Linked DNA regions of Xenopus tropicalis. The protein of the gene in region 2 purifies or fractionates together with the protein of the main gene of each other region. This does not show direct contact. Links are inferred from orthologs where the notes say so. Each region holds a gene or a part of one and is shown on either strand. Other genes may lie near its edges.

Region 1 (4,266 bases), on a different chromosome or scaffold from region 2:
GCAAGCGCATCCCTCTGTGCCGGATAGTTCCATGAATGTCCCGCAATGCGGGACATTCATGGAACTATCCGGGACAGCGGGATGCGCCATAAAAAGCGGGACTGTCCCGCGAAAAGCGGGACAGTTGGGGGGTATGCTATATTAGAAACATTTTTGATTTACCCAGTTTTACTTTTACACAGAACTGTTCCTTTAAGGTCCCTAAAATCTGGCCAGAGCAGAGCCTTGTATGCAAAGTTAAGGTGGAATTACTAGTTAAGATGACGCCACAAATTTCTCATTCCAAACTTCCACCCTCACATTACTGATACGCCCCAAACTGTGTAGTCACATGGCTGATAGTGAGTGCTTGCACACCACAGACCCAGGATATTTATGGTATAGAAGACATAATGAAGATTCTGTGAATAACATGATGAGGACCCAGCTGAAAATTTTGTTGCATGCATGGAAAAATATTTACCTATAATGCAATGTTTTTAGTTCAAATTGCCATAATCCCTTCTTTGTGGCTGCAAAAAAAAAAGCATAATTATGGGTAACAGCTTCTGTAATAAACTAGGAAAACCCCTGCCAGCACTGGTCCCTTTAAAGGAACAGTAACACCAAAATATGAAAGTGTATAAAAGTAACTAAAATATAATGTGCTGCTGCCCTGCACTGGTAAAAGTTGTGTGTTTGCTTCAGAAAGTCTACTATAATTTATATAAATAAGCTGCTGTGTAGCCCTGGGGGCAGCCATTCAAGCTGGAAAAAAGGAGAAAAGGCACAGGTTACATAACAGATAACAGATAAAACACTTTTGTATTCTACAGAACTTATCTGTTATCTGCTATGTAACCTGTGCCTTTTCTCCTTTTCTCCAGCTTGAATGGCTGCCCCCGTGGCTACACAGCAGCTTATTATATAAATTATAGTAGTGTTACTGTAGCAAACGCCCCAGTTTTACCAGTGAAGGGCAACAGTGCATTATATTTTTATTACTTTAAAGCTCTTTCATTTTTTAGTGTTACTGTTCCTTTAAGAGCCCCAGAACCTTCTGCTACTGAACTTATCGGTGCACATTATTTAGCACTAAAGAAACTTATTACTTTTGGTCAATTTTACCCTAAATTAATTCTGCACAAAAATATATAAACGTGCAAAAGCTGGAAAATGATCAACTTCACCCTGACCTTAGTTTGCACCAATTTGTTTTTTTCCTTTTTTTGATCAAATGGGGAGAAAGCACTCTGATGGCAGAGAGACTATTAGCAACCAGGATAAAGTCATTTTTAAGTTCCCGAGCACAAGTCAAAGCTTAGAAATGATAAATGACTTCTGAGGAAATATTGGGAGCTGAGGTGGAGGAGAGCACGGCGGGTAACTAACAAAAAGAATGAAGTAATTACAAAAGCAGGAAGTGCAAGCAGATGAAAAACACATTGCGGGCAACTAGCCGCTTCTATTTATGCTACGCGGTGCGTCATTACGCTTGCGTGCAGTTGTGACGCCGAATATCGCGAGATTTGTGGAGTCGGGATTTTGTGAGAGATTGTGGGATGAGGCTTGTAGTGAGCAGCTGCAGGAGTAAGTAGCGAACTGGGACTGTGAGTTGTGTCAGGGAAAGCGGACTGTTGGGCACTCGCATTAACTGGGATTAGAGGGTGTAGTATGGGAAAAATAGATTTTCTTGTTTTTATACACATTAAAATAAGACATCATCTCCCTTATTCTTGTTAAATAGAGAGTAGCACTCGTATCTGCATGGCACAATGTTATACTTTGTCAGCCATAGATTTAAACAAGAAATTGTTGGGTAGGTGTAACCTTTTATTGGCTAATGTAATAGATTATAAAATACATTTTCTAACCTACTAAATTAACCAATCAACCTTATATGTTCTACTTAGCAGAGCGTCAGCCAATGGGAAATGAGTAGGCTTGACTGTCACTGAGAGCATTTTTTGTTCTAGTACAATAAAACATGATTAATTGGGATATCTGGATTATAGAATTTGTATGACATTTGGTGTTTGTGGTAAATGATATCATTTGTTTTGCTGAGAGTGATGGTGATTGCCATTAACTGTTCACAGATTGGCTCATCCCGGCACCTTGAGGATCTTTCAATGGAAGGCGATTCAGAAGATGTTTATGATCTTTTCAGTGGCTATGACAGTTACAGAGAATATAGCAGTGGACTTAGTGATATCAGTTCTGGTCTTGGGGATTCAAGTTTAGATGAAGAGGAAAATGAAGGGTCTTCATCACTGCAGCAATCATCTTCTAGCGCTAACAAGGCCAATGAGGAGAATAGTGCTGAACCAGGTACATACATTTGATTATGAAAGATTACACTGCAGTTTTGGAAGGTCTTTATAATGGCCTTATAGCAAAAAATATGTCAGCATTTTGTTTTTTGATCAACAATAAAAAGCCTTCCATTAAATATATTTAAGTACCAAACAACTAGGTCATTTTGACTAGGCCACTACTAGTTGTTGGCTTATGATCTCTTTCATTGAGTAGTCTGTACCAAAGGAATGCCAATTTTTCCAATTTTCGCTAAAAAATGAAAGTGTACTAAATTATTATGTAATATTGCCCTGCACCAATTTTACCTTTAAACTGCGAGATAGTGTGTGTGCACACATTCTGAGCCAACACACACAACAAATTGTAACAGGTCTGGTCTGGGAGTTGAAATAGGCGCTGACATTTCAACTACTCAGAAGCCCAAACAGCTCCCCCACCAGCTCAATAAATAGTGACTGTCTATGGCATCTTACATTAGCCCCTCTGGCGATTGCCATTTCAGGCCTGCCATGCACACAAAGAATTTATTCTGACCTGAGCACTGCACTGCATGTTTAAATAAGTGCATATAAGTTTAAAATGTACCCACAAAATAATGTTTTTGTGCACATAGCCAAAAAGGAAATAGTGAACATTGCCCTGCACCGGAAAGGTCGTGTGTTTGCTTCAGAAACATTACTATAGTTTATATGAACTAAGCTGCTGTGTAGCCATGGTGGTAGCTGTTCAAATTGAAAAAGGGATAAATGGTGCAGATTACATAACAGATAACAGATAAGCTCAGTAAAACACTGTTGTACTCTACAGAGCTCATTTGTTATTTGCTATGTAACCTGTGCCCTTTCTCCTTTTCTACAGTCTGAATGGCTGCCCCCATGGCTACAGAACATCTTTGTTTATATAAACTATAAGTGTTTCTGAAACACAGCTGAAACACACAACTGTTACCAGTGCAGTAGTACATAATATCTTAATTATTCTGGTACAATTTCATTTTTGGTGTTACTGTCCCAGTTCTCCAAGACAGAAAGAGCAAAAGGCGTTTTGTTTTATCATGGTTCTTACTGAAAGGAAATTGACTACTGAAGAGATCCCTACCCTAAAGCTGGCCACACACGTGGCGATTTTTGATCTTTCGTGCGACCATCGGTCACACAAAAGATTGTTCCAACCCTCCACTGACGTTCAGGGATGAATTGTCAGATATGGAGGTAGAAACAATAGGATTTCTACCTCCTTCTGCCGATTCAGCCCTGAACATAGATTTTGCTCGGGTGCCTTCAGTGGCACCCAATCAAAATCCTCTAACCCATCCAATCGGCGAGTTGAACGATATCAGCAGCCTCCTGCGATATCAGTCGCCTCGCTGACTTGCCATGCACCGAACGATATTATCGGTGCGTGTATAGCCACCTCCTGTCTCAGCCTCAAAAGAATCACAGAGCCCGTGGATGCCAGACATCGGCTGCTAACCTACTTCAACATGAAAGCAGGGTACCATTGTATTTAATTTGAATGTTATTAGGGTTGTGGTGGGGGGTAGGGCATTTTAAAGACATTGTTGCTTTGTTATTAAAGCTTTGCATGTTTTAAAGTGATGGCTGTTTTATATAACTGTGCTTGCCTTAAGGATTCTGGTTACAATGAAGTTCACACATATATTTGTATTGCTAGGAAACTGTAGGAGCTGGGTGTGTTCCTTAAAGAAATTGTTTATAACATTTAAAAAAAATCCTTGGTCTGATTATGTATGAATTAGAGCCAGCAATTACTAAGGAGTCACATTTGCAGGTTTGAGATCAGTCCATGATAGTTGCTGTGTGTATTACAGTGTGCCCACTGTGACTGCGCACTGTGCACCATTGCACTGTCAGCTTGGATCAGCATACATATGCTCTATTTACAGGCTGAGGGATACTATTGTAACTGAAGGGATCAGACAGTGAGTCTGGCTGTGAATGAGCCTTG
Region 2 (4,172 bases):
TGCCATCCCACCGGCGATTTACATTTTTGCCAGTGGGATGGCATTTCAGGGAGATTAGTCGCCCATGAACAGGGAGATTTGTCACGGGCGACTAATCTCCCCGTGTGCCAGAGCCCTAATAGTACAAAGCCATGAACACTACTAGTATTCCAGGACAGCCTACTGCCTGGATGTGGTCCTTCTTAAAGGGGACATGATTACTCTGTACAAGTACATTAGAGGGGATTATAGGCAGATAGGGGATGTTCTTTTTTTCCCATAAAAACAATCAACGCACCAGAGGCCCCCGCTTTAGATTAGAGGAACGGAGCTTCCATTTGAAGCAGCGTAGGGGGTTTTTCACAGTGAGGGCAGTGAGGTTGGGGAATGCCCTTCCTAGTGATGTTGTAATGGCAGATTCTGTTAATGCCTATAAGAGGGGCCTGGATGAGTTCTTGAACAAGCATAGTATCAAACACTATTGTGACACTAATATCTACAGTTAGTATTAATGATTGTATCTATAGTTTATGTATGTGAGTGTATAGATTGGTAAGTATAGGTTGTGTGTGCTGGGTTTACTTGGAAGGGTTGAACTTGATGGACAATGGTCTTTTTTCAACCCTATGTAACTATGTAATATGAACAACTATGCCTAACATCACCATTTCCTACAATCTGATCCTCTCCAAAATATTTAATATCAAGGGTAATATAGAAAAAAATGGACAACAAACAAGCAAGCCTGTCTCACTGGGACACCAAACAACCAGTGGAGAAATGATGAAGCTCCGCCCGCCCCCCCCATGAGTCTGGCCAACAGAAATATATACAGACACCTGTTCATAGTATAACCTCTGGCTGTTACCCTTCCAAAATAATAGGGTATGCATACACGTTTGTTGCCCTTCACCGAGGTGTCTATCTTACCACCCTGCAGTTATTGTTGGATAGGTACCAACAACATAGAAAACAGGTCAGTAATAAAGGCACTAGTCCCAGAGTCCCATGCCCACCATACAGAGCAGGTATCATTACACATCTACTGGGGCTGCCTGGTGTGTATGCGATGTTTACACTAAGGGGCACATTCATCAAAGTACAATTGAGTGTGAATACAAAAAAAATTGTTTTAGAACTGTGCGTTTTTTTCGCAACTTTTTCGTACTTTCCAACAATTTGCACGACAAAATCGTATTTGTCGCAACGAGTACAAAAGTTTCATTATTCATTCAAGCTTCAATATCGTGACTTTCCTTGGGCCAGGTTGGAGCTGCAGAGTGCCATTGAGCCCTATGGGAGACTTTCCTTGGGTCGGGTTGGAGCTGCAGAGTGCCATTGAGCCCTATGGGAGACTTTCCTTGGGCCAGGTTGGAGCTGCAGAGTGCCATTGAGCCCTATGGGAGACTTTCCTTGGGCCGGGTTGGAGCTGCAGAGTGCCATTGAGCCCTATGGGAGACTTTCCTTGGGCCAGGTTGGAGCTGCAGAGTGCCATTGAGCCCTATGGGAGACTTTCCTTGGGCCGGGTTGGAGCTGCAGAGTGCCACTGAGGCCTATGGGAGACTTTCCTTGGGCCAGGTTGGAGCTGCAGGGTGCCATTGAGCCCTATGGGAGACTTGCCTTGGGCCGGGTTGGAGCTGCAGAGTGCCATTGAGCCCTATGGGAGACTTTCCTTGGGCCAGGTTGGAGCTGCAGAGTGCCATTGAGCCCTATGGGAGACTTTCCTTGGGCCGGGTTGGAGCTGCAGAGTGCCATTGAGCCCTATGGGAGACTTTCCTTGGGCCAGGTTGGAGCTGCAGAGTGCCATTGAGTCCTATGGGAGACTTCCAAAATCCTCCACTGAAGGGTCAAAGTCAGAAAGGTTTTTGAGCCGTTTACGATCGTACGGATACGAAAATTTCGTAACTTTTGCATCGTACCACGATATTTTCGCACAAGTACAACGCGACTCTTCGCAAAATTAACGCACATTAGAAATTTTTGTATTTAATGCGAATTGTCGCCAATTATACTCTTAATTTGTAATTTAATGTATCGGCCCCTATGTGTTGGTGAATGTGATAGGGACCTTAGATAGTAAGCTCCACTGGTGCCAGGCTGATATGAATGATGGGATACTTCAGTGCTATATAAATAACAATAAACCCCAGACTGATGAAGGTACCCTGGGCACTGAAGGAATGCTGGGGTCCTAGTATATAATAATATCATAATGGGGATATTGATTTAAGGACCCTCCAGCTGTTGGGCTGCAGCCCTCCCATCCCTGCCAGGGGAGATGCTAAGGATTGCAGAGCAGCTGGAGGGCCGGTGGATGCTACAAGTTATACTACATACAGTGCAGGAGGGATACAGAGTCCTAACAAATAAAACAAGATGCCCTGAGATACTGGAAGCCCAGGACAAATGCCCTCTCTCTGCCCTACCCGAAAACCTTCTCCGTATTGCTGAGGATGCTGGGATTTGTAGTGCAGCAGGACCTAGGCACACACAGAATAGGAAACACTGTTCCTGTTACAGCTAGAACCAAAAGCGGTGATCCCTGCTAAACAGACAGTTGCCCCCTCTCCAAGGGACAACACAGCCACCCCCGCCCCCACCCCATATAAAGCCAAGTTAAAGGGAAGCGGAACCCGCACTCACGTCGCTTTCCACCTCGATGTCATCGTTATCGCTCATGCTTTCCTATAGTGATGGGAAGGAGGGGAGAGGCTGCTCGGGCCTGAAAACAAACACTATGGGCAAAAAGAAAAAAAAAATAAAATCCGAATTAAGGGAGGGAGAGAGGGGGGGAAGAGACCCTCTCTGTGCCCAGGAAAACACACCAACGGAAGCCACACGTGACTCCACACTGCTAGGGATCATTAGCCAGAGCTCTAGCCTCTCAGAGAGCCGGCCCGCTGCATGCTGGGAAATGGAGTTCACTAGGGCCGGAAGCGCTCTGCCAGCTTATGCGCCTAAACACGGAAATTGACTACAACTCCCTTATAGCCTTGGGAGCAAACAAGCTTTACTGCGCAGGCGCGACGTTCCAGGCCGCTGATGGGATTTGTAGTCTACACAGGTAGCGGCTTCCCGGAAGTGGGCTGGAGACACGTGTATAGACGGGAAGCTGGGCGAGTTTGTGTTTGTGTGACTGGGCTGCTGTGGCGGCTACGGGCTTGTTGTGTAGTGACAAGGGAAGGGCCTGCGGGGGAGATGGGAGAGAGGCTTAGGGAAGTAGTGGGGCTTTTCATCTTCATCCGCTTTGGACTAATACAAACTGATATTATATCGTTTAGGGGTGTATCTCAAGTCGTAAGCGTATTTATGTATATCACATCTACAGTTTGGTTGTTCCGGGGGCAGAAATTATATGATGGGAAATGACGTTTTATGCCATTTCTAACAAAAAGATACCGACACCAAGCGTGTTGCTAACGAAGCAGATGCCATAGCAACCTTTTCGTGCACCTGTTGTCAGCTCGGCAGATATAGAGTATAGAAAAGCCCTGCGTGGTGCCTACTGTATTGTGTGAAATAGCTGAATAAAGCAAAAAAAAAAAAATACTACCCTTTACAAGCTTAGATTGTAAGCTCTACAGGCTTTCCTACTGTGCCTCATACCAAATGGTGCTTAATCTCTGTGTATATATACTTATTTGTTATGTTTTTTATAATATGTGCCTTCCCCGTGTGTACTGTTATATGATTGTACAGGTATTGGATCCATTTTCTGGAAACCTGTTATCCAGAAAGTTCCGAATTACGGAAAGGCCATCTCCCATAGATTCCATTTTAAACAAATGATTCTAATTTTTAGAAATGATTCCCTTTTCTCTGTAATAATAAAACAGTACCTGTACTTGATCCCAACTAAGATATAATTACCCCTTATTGGGGGCAGAACAGCCCTATTGGGTTTATTTAATGGTTAAATGATTCCCTTTTCTCTGTAATAATAAAACAGTACCTGTACTTGATCCCAACTAAGATATAATTAATCCTTTTGGATGGAAAACAATCCTAATGGATTTATTTCATGTTTAAATGACATTTTAGTAAACGTAAAGCATGGAGATCCAAACTACGGAAAGATCCCTTATCCGGAAGACCCAAGGTCCCGAGCATTCTGGATAACAGATCCCATACATGTACATCTCTCCACATTCCTGTAGCGCTTTATAAAGTTATACAAACGTACAGGCCCCTTG
Region 3 (4,278 bases), on a different chromosome or scaffold from region 2:
TTGCCGAAAATATCAGCCCTACGCCTCGTGTGGCATCAGCCTAAGAGATCACACACAGACAGCTGTTAAAACTCTGTAGTCTGAAGCCTAATTGTATGAAACATCTAAGTGTGAGGGCAGCATGATTTCTTGCCTTAATAAAAATGCTTAGTTACCAGGGAAAAGCAATGTATAGCCCACTAGTTTCCATGGGATGCTTTTAATACCTGGAGAGTCATGTTGTTCTCCCCAAGAGCGTAATATTTTTATGATTATTATCCTTTATATGGTGCTGCCATATTTTGTAGTGCTTCACAGAGATTATACATCATCAGTTTCGGACTGGCCACAGGATACCAGGAAAACTCCCAGTGGGCCCAGGTGTCAGTCGGCCCTCCTACTCCTGACCATTCGGCTTGCTGCATGGTCATTCCCTATTTCTGAATGGGAACAAAGAGGAGAAATAGATGGAAGAATAGATGTTAGCATGTAAATAAAAGAGACTAGGAGAATAAAGAGGTTGGGTGAGGAAAGGAGGAAAAATAGTTTGGAGAGTGGGCCCCTGGGGGTCCGACACTGTACATCATTCCCTTCTGGGGTTGCCACCTGGCAGGGAAAAATGATGCTTGATCCCAATGTTATTCATAGGGCAGAAAGAAAAAACTATAGAAAGGCCAGTATTTTTTATTTTTTACAAAAGGATGCAGCCTTATTGCCATCAGTCCCTGTTCAAGTGGAGCTTACATTCTAGGTCCCTATAACAGGCTTACTATGGTTGAGTTTATCTGAAGCCAATTAACTTGCCTGCATTTGGAGACTGGAATACCCACAAATTCCTTGCAGACAGTCTCCTACCTGGAATTGAATCCAACTGTTTTTTTTCTGCCATAAATATGTAGGATTTAGTGGGAAATCTAGATTGAGGTGACTGTTCCCTATTTAATAAGGTGGCCATACATGTTAAGATCTTATCCCGATATGCCCACCCAAGGTGGGTGATATTGGGCGGATTACAATGACGCACATAGGCACCATCAGAGCGAAAACCACAATAGTGAGCAGATGCGGTACCCAATCCAACAGGAAAATCAAACCTGCCTGATCGGCACCTGGCCACTTTTCAGCCAGATATTGGGGGGGGGGACCCCATACATGGGTAGATAAGCTGTCAAATTAGTCTAAAGGACTTAAATCTGCAGCTTAAATCTGCCAGTGTATGGCCACCTTTAAGGTGTCTCCATGTCACAACGCAAAATCACAAGTTCCACAGAAATCAATAGCTGTTCTTATGGCACTGGCAGCCTTTTGGCTGCTTAGTCAGTCCGTCCCCTTCAGGTTCCTGCGCAGCAGAGCAGGGTGTGATTCCTGCTAGTGAGCAGAAAGCAAAAGCCCCACATCCTCCTCCTCCTCCTCCTCCCTGTGAGTCACACGCCAGGGCCAGTGCGTCCGCACTCCGGCTTTTCCCTCTGCCCGAGAGTAGCTGAGGGCTCTGTGAGTCCCTTTTTTCTTGTTGTGTTTCTGTTACTCATCGCCATCTTGTTGCAACCCTTTTCTTGTCTGGAGGATCCGTGGGGGGGAACCTGGGTTGGATTTTTTTTCCATTGCATTTCATTTATTCAGTCATATTTCCCCCGACACAGGGAGGGTGAGGAGATCCGCGCAGCCATCCTCCGCTTCTGGATCTTTTTATTTTGACGGACTGGGGGGAGATACAATTAAAGCGGAAGATTTTAGGGGATCACTGTGGAAGCTGCTGAGAAATGAGCCTGGAGACACTGTTGCAAGCAGCCCTGTTCCTGGAATGGCAATCCCAGCAGCAACAGCAGAGAACACGTGGTAAGGAAGCTTTTTGGGGGCCCTGGGGCAAAATGATGGGCTGTAGCCGGGCTGGCAGGGGAGATCGGTACAAGGTGGGAGCATTTTATGATCATGGAAGTGTTCTTTAAGAAGCATCATTATGGTTTATCCGTCACACTCCAGCTGCTGCTAAACTACACCTCCCATCATCCTCCAGTAGACTCCTACTGCTAGAAGATGCTTAGGGGTTGTATTCGGCAGTATCTGGGGTGTCACTGTGCATTTTGAGATACTATTGGTGCTGAGTGTGTAAGCTGTTCAGTTTGAGGGACTAAAACATGACTGCGCGTTATTGCCCAGGATTATGCAGCGTTAACGCTCGGTATGTGAGCTGTTTCACAAAATCTCTGTGGCTGACCGGCTTGGGGAATAAATTTCCCCCTTTGGGTCTGAGTCTTAGCTTGTCCAGTATCAGGGCGGTGGCAATCCTCCAGCAGCAGCCTTTGCTAATACCCTGACATGGCCTGTCATATGACTTCCCGCAGCGCCGCCCCTTAACCTCTTCAGCGCCAGCAGCGCTCACACTTCAGGAGCTTCTCGCGTATTCTTGCGTCCAGATTACATGTTACCGCTATTATTCTTTTTGTGTGGGCTATACTAATACGAATTGGTGATTTCCCTGCTGGTTCTATTGCCTGGGAGTGGGGCTTCGGTTTTAGAAGGCTGGCAGCCCTCGGGTTACTGTGTGAAGGTGACGTGTCAGGCGCCGCCCCTCCCCCCACGTGCAGTGAGGACACTCCCGCATAGAGAGAGGGGGGGGGCTGAGCGGGACAGAGAGGCAGACAGGGCGGCGGGGGGAGTGGCGAGGAGGGACTGCACGCACATAGCATGACCCATGGCGTTCACACCCTGCTGGGAAGAGGAAAAAACAATCTCATAGGCGGGGGAGCCGCAGGTTACAGATGTACGTACCTCTCGGCGCACCTCCTGCCCCCGCCATAGCGCTGCAAATACTCCCACCCCGGGGAGGCTGCGCTTCTAAGCACTAACCCTTCACTTTGCCTTTAATGTCACGTTAATAATGGCCTGGTTATTCTCTGTGGCCTTTAGTAATATGCAGTTATTCTCTGAGTAAGGAGGTGGGCATTTTGGCAGAGCCGCCCATTTTAGGACAGAGTCTAGTGGTTTGTGTGTGAGGTGCCTATGGCATCTGTAGTTTGCCCATGCCCAAATAACACCATTACATTGCAGGCTAGAGCATTGGCTAATGGCTAGGCACTAGGGAGGAAAGGCTTGATATAATGTGTAACATATCCTTTCCATGGGGTTTCTGATTCCCAGCATAGAGTCTGTACTGACACCTGGAGAGAGCAGCTGCACCTGTAGAGGGAGGCCATGGGGCGGCTAGCGCAGCTACACACCAAGCTTTGTATTTCCCACATGGGGGCTGGTTTGTTTTCTACCTACATTCTTTATAGTGCATTCATTTGCCTGTGATGTGCAGCGTTACGTTCATTTACACCCTGCAGTGCTGACTGGAGCACAAGCTGCTAATTCTCTGTCTGGCCTTTGTGCCTTTTCAGCTATGCCTGGGAGAATATGGCTATTTGTTATTCCAGGGGCAGCAGCAATGAGTATTTTACTTTAATGACACCATCCTCCTTTATTCAGTGCTACACAGAATATTGTAGGTTACATATATTTGAAAGATAAACAAATACACAACACTAAAACTGTGGCATACTGCATACATGTGATTATTGTCTCACATTGTACTACTGGTTATCACACTAAAGCTGGCTGGGGAAAATACCAGGAAGTTTCAACTTGCTAATGTCACTTTTGGCTCCGCCCCTTTGTCATCTGTAATATATTAATATACATGGCATGATCCCTATGCCCCTGTAAAAGTGTCTATTGATTACCATTGATCGAAAAGGCAGTAATGGACAAATTAAAAATGAAAGTGCAAGGAGTTGTAGCAGTGCAAGCAATCAGGATACCCATGATAATAATTAGAATCACCAGGAGGTGCCAAACATATTGACTCTCCCACTGTCATTTTACCTTAACATTTTACTCCTTGTTGGGGTCAGTATGTACCAGATTTTCCCCATTGTTCTGCTCTGATTTTGGCTCATATATGTTCACTCTGGGTTGGGCAGGTTACTTGTATAATGCCTCAATTTTGAAATAGTGCCTTTCTATAAAATAGGTTTTCTGTTTATAATTAATCTAATTGGTCTAATAATGTATTTTAGCAAGGGTTTACTTAAGGTAACTTCAAGGGCAACAATTCCTAAAATGGTTTCCTTTATTGCAGCTGAGGGCTGCACTCCAGATGGGGAAAACTGTACTATAAGTTCAAAGGTGCACCTCCCCACCAAGTATTTTGGTGGCCCACATGGGGTGCCTACTCAAAGGGCAGATGGCCAACCTGGGGCACACAGGACAAGTGTACCAGGGCACTTGGTTAATTTACACATACGCATGAGATGGAAT
Region 4 (4,139 bases), on a different chromosome or scaffold from region 2:
CTGAAGACAGCGGTGCACAGATGCCCTCACAATTTGACAGATCTGGAAAATGTTAGCAAAGAGGAGTCGGCAAACCTTGCAAAGTCTCAATGTGCCAAACAGATGGACCCAAAAAGACTGAGTGCTGTTAATAAAATCAAAAGGTGCTTCAACCAAGTTATTAGTTTAGGGGGTGCGCACTAATGCAACCAGGTTTTGTATGATTTGTTTCACTAAACTGTTGATTTGTTTTCAACTTCTTTGTACAGATCACAATTTTGTAAAAAAAGGTGGAATAAGTTCTTACAGATTTTATCTTGGTTTCTTTTTTTTTTTTAATTAACACAAACATGTGTTATGTATGTATACAGCGATGAATAGAAGAAAAATAATTTAATTAAAACAAACAAGGGGGTCATTACAATAATAGGTCAATAAATACAAAGTACGATTAATACTAATAAAGTACAGCTGTAGTAAATATGTCACAGAGCTAAGTAACAAAGAGACAAGAGTATGGAGATTCCTGTTCTGTACAGCTTACAATCTATGGCTAAGAAAACTTACAATATATTACAGTCAGTTGCAGAGACAAAGCAGTGCAGCGCTATATATTCTATTCCACATATAAGGTGCAGGGCAGACAATATGAAAGAACACAAAATAATAATCTGTCAATATTGTTATGCCTCTTTCCATATGTTTTCTGGGCTATTAAAAACCTAGACCTTTTCCGCTCGCTCTGCACCATCCGACAAACGTTTCCTATTCCGCGATTCAAGCACCGCACAGCATTCTGGGTTCCATAGTTTTCATCTATGTAAGTATTAAAAAGCAGTGCATTGTGGGCGATATCTTTTGTGTCGTACCTGCAATGCATTTTGGACGTTGTAGTTTTTTAAAAAAATTCTATATTGATTTGAGGTATGTCGTTACTGTGCACATTCAGCCCCTCCATATTCCTATAATTTCGCTCTTGTCGTCCAAAATCATTACGCGCACCTGTCACATAAACATATTTGGGATGCGCGCTGTAGCCGCGGTCTCTCACAACCTCCCGCCCAACAGAGCCCTACTACTTATGAAACAAATACAGCGGTCATTGAATCTGATAAGAGTTCTAAGTCAGCTTGAGGGCCGCGAGTAACACTACAAAATTAACATTAGACTCTACAAGCCTTAGTAAGGAAGGAGAGAACAAACAGCACCAGAGCCAAATGGGACGTGCCCTTCAAGGGGGCGGGTGGCTAAGCCCCCATGACGGAGCGCTGTCTCTATATGGCAAGAAGGCGGGGTCGAGTTTAAATGAGTTCCCCTCCCCTCTAAGGTTTTCTATGGTACACACCCACCCTCTTTTCTGTAGGGGGCTGGACTAGAACTAGGAGTCTTGGAAAAAAACGGGGGGGGTGTATCTATCCTAGCATAGAGTCCCTGACTTGGTGTGGCCGTATATTTATTTCTGGAAGGTATGTGCCTCTTGTTTATCCTAAAGGGAGCCATTCTTTGTTTGGACTGGGGCGCTGGGGTTGTAGTAAGGCCAGTGGGACACATCGAAGTGCTTGCCTTTTCGCAGATGGGGTCAGGCGGCGAGTTACGAGTCCAGCCGTGCTGCACCTCGTATGTACAGGGTGTCCGGATACACATTCCCCCGTGGCACCGTTCTCCAACCTGCGCCTAAACAGCTGCTGTTGGACTGGAATCCCCAGAGCCACGCGAGAGTTTGCTGCCTAATAGCTGTGGGTGGCGAGATCCCTGCCCTAGGGGAATCGATGGTGGCCATGTGGCTACCTGTCCAAATATGCCTGCCAATATGCTCTCATCTGTATAGAGATGACCGCCAGGCCGGGAGATGGATAGATGGAGTAGGGCTGAGACTGGGACAAATGTTATGCACCCGAGCCAGCTGGGCTGTTACTGCCCAGTCAGTTGGCATGGGCAAAGGCTGGTTTGTCCTGTCTGAGAGGGAAGAATTAGGGATCCCTTATGTTCTTAAAATGACCTTAGGTTTTTTTGGGGGGTGGGGGGTTAACGCAGTTCGTGGTGCTGGGGTTTGGGGGACCTACAGCGATTGATGGAAGGCGGAGGTTCAACGCTGACGCTTAAATCATTTGTGCCTTTAAGTTTATTTCTCCCCGAATATCACACGAGACCAAATTTTGGGAAAATGTGAGCTCGGTTTTTGCATGAGATTAATAGGAGTATAGACATGGGGTTTGGGGGGTGGTGCTTCATTGCAGTTAGGTGACTGTATTGTCTGGGAGGCAGCAGAAAACACCCCTGAACAGCCGCGCTATGTGGAAGCGGCTCCTAAATAGCCTGCCTTACACTACACTGTTCCATGTCTTCTGGTCAATGTACTATTAAATTTAATTGCCTTCTGCACGCATAACGAAAACTAGCCGCTATCACTCACGCTAAAACCTCTACTCTCTCCCTTCCTAACGCGCTTAATAATTCTGAGATGGTACGTGCCTCAGCTTTATCCTTTTTGGCCCCGCCCTATCTAAACGCTATTGGCCCTCTCCAGTACCTAGGCATCCTGTATTTTCATTGGGCAGAGTGATTGCACCGCCCTTATTCGCTGGCACTAGGCATCGACTCCGTGTTCTCTTCCGTGTAAGGCGTGGCTTAACACTATTGGTAGGGCGTGCATATTGCTGGTCACTCCTGGTCATAGGAAGCGGAAGCTGATAGCAGGCAATGGTTGGCTAGTTGTGTTGTACCCGGAAGTGCTGTCCAATAAGCTTTACTTTATGGGCCGACGTTAGCCAAGGGGCGGAGCTGAGGACAATGAGGCTGCTCTTCTTATACTCCTCCCCAGAAATGTAGCCTTAAGTTTCATATACGTTTATCGTCTTATTTGTCTCCAAACATTTTTTGATTAATACAATGTGTGAAAACAGTATAGACACTGTGGTCGGAACCCTAATGGTAGCTTATCCTTGATTTAGAGGCAATTCTGCAATCTGACATCAAGTTTTGTGTGTGCTAAGTACGAGAGAGAAAGGTTTGCATCTTGGCTATGAAACATCACACTTTTGATTAGTCAGCACCAGGCAGCATTGCTTTATCATAGGCTATAGACATTTTACTACGTTTATTTTAGGAATATAACAACTCCAACTCATGAATGGCATACTGAAACATTATAAATGCTGCTGTGCCTTTCTATGGACCTAATGCCCTTGGGATGTCGCAATTATGATTAAAAATGTCATACTATAGTGTTAAAGAAAAAAAAAATTTGAAATGTCTGGTGGAAGATGTAAACCCTAATAATGTGAACTTGTATGTATATTTACACTGCACTGCTTGTGCATGCTGTGCTGTACAGTAGGACAACACAATAATAGAACAATTTAGACAGGTCCCCATCAGGTCACAACAAGGTTACAGATATAGAAAATCAGTGTATATTCTTATAAATAGTGGCATTAGTTATAATTGGTCATACACATTTTTAAGAAATACAATTTTTCTTTAAAAAAAAGTACATTTGAAATAACATTTACGTTTTATGACTATAGAAACACAACTTTAACCTGTTATATTGCGCCTTTTAAAAGGGTATGGAACTCCTGTTTTACAAAAGAGACTGCATTAATCCCTACATAAACTTGCTTCATGCACATCTATAATCTAATTATACATGACATCCATCAACATGCTGTGAGATTAGATCAGCTCATACAAACAAATTATGGAGTGCATAGAAAACATACATCAGAACTGTTTTATACCCAGTTCTTAATCAGTTTTTAAAAAGTGTCACATAACCCAGGAAATCAAGAGGCCATGTGCAAGAAATTGGTAGGGAATTCATAAAACAGATGTTAATTTCACTTTGTCGTGTACAAAAACGGCACTGTCAATATTGCATTTTTGCGTAACTCCCTTTCCCAGGAGGGTTTAGGCATTCCTTTATACTAAGTTGGTTAGGTTGTTAAGGTGGCCATACATCCATGGCCACCTCTGTATATATCTGCAAGTTTGGGCCAAATGATGACAGCAGAAAGAAGTAAAGAAAATCTGCAGATTCTCTTTTTACTTGACTAGTAAAAATGTTTCTGATGGATTGGTAATCCTCAACTCATCAGGATTATGTGCCTGAATGGCAACTAGCCATATAAATTTATTTGGTAGTGTGGTCGAAATCAGGC

Evidence for each region.
Region 1: the proteins of max (region 2) and l3mbtl2 purify together in Homo sapiens (affinity purification with mass spectrometry; 6 studies listed by BioGRID and IntAct, with this or other methods). This does not show direct contact. The link is inferred for Xenopus tropicalis from reciprocal best matches to the Homo sapiens genes MAX and L3MBTL2.
Region 3: the proteins of max (region 2) and mnt purify together in Homo sapiens (affinity purification with mass spectrometry; 7 studies listed by BioGRID and IntAct, with this or other methods). This does not show direct contact. The link is inferred for Xenopus tropicalis from reciprocal best matches to the Homo sapiens genes MAX and MNT.
Region 4: the proteins of max (region 2) and sin3a purify together in Homo sapiens (affinity purification with mass spectrometry; 3 studies listed by BioGRID and IntAct, with this or other methods). This does not show direct contact. The link is inferred for Xenopus tropicalis from reciprocal best matches to the Homo sapiens genes MAX and SIN3A.

Annotation. Positions count from the first base shown.
Region 1 is NC_030680.2:116,015,020-116,019,285, reverse strand, and holds the start of l3mbtl2 (lethal(3)malignant brain tumor-like protein 2), read left to right. Parts: upstream 1-1,466; 5' UTR 1,467-1,569; intron 1,570-1,571; exon of another isoform or gene 1,572-1,589; intron 1,590-1,608; exon of another isoform or gene 1,609-1,798; intron 1,799-2,078; 5' UTR 2,079-2,111; coding exon 2,112-2,310; intron 2,311-4,266. UniProt on the Homo sapiens protein: Putative Polycomb group (PcG) protein. PcG proteins maintain the transcriptionally repressive state of genes, probably via a modification of chromatin, rendering it heritably changed in its expressibility.
Region 2 is NC_030684.2:119,935,303-119,939,474, reverse strand, and holds the start of max (protein max), read right to left. Parts: upstream 2,801-4,172; 5' UTR 2,659-2,800; coding exon 2,623-2,658; intron 1-2,622. UniProt on the Homo sapiens protein: Transcription regulator. Forms a sequence-specific DNA-binding protein complex with MYC or MAD which recognizes the core sequence 5'-CAC[GA]TG-3'. The MYC:MAX complex is a transcriptional activator, whereas the MAD:MAX complex is a repressor.
Region 3 is NC_030678.2:47,696,934-47,701,211, reverse strand, and holds the start of mnt (max-binding protein MNT), read left to right. Parts: upstream 1-1,478; 5' UTR 1,479-1,739; coding exon 1,740-1,815; intron 1,816-4,278. UniProt on the Homo sapiens protein: Binds DNA as a heterodimer with MAX and represses transcription. Binds to the canonical E box sequence 5'-CACGTG-3' and, with higher affinity, to 5'-CACGCG-3'.
Region 4 is NC_030679.2:93,378,902-93,383,040, forward strand, and holds the start of sin3a (paired amphipathic helix protein Sin3a), read left to right. Parts: upstream 1-1,339; 5' UTR 1,340-1,445; intron 1,446-4,139. UniProt on the Homo sapiens protein: Acts as a transcriptional repressor. Corepressor for REST. Interacts with MXI1 to repress MYC responsive genes and antagonize MYC oncogenic activities. Also interacts with MXD1-MAX heterodimers to repress transcription by tethering SIN3A to DNA.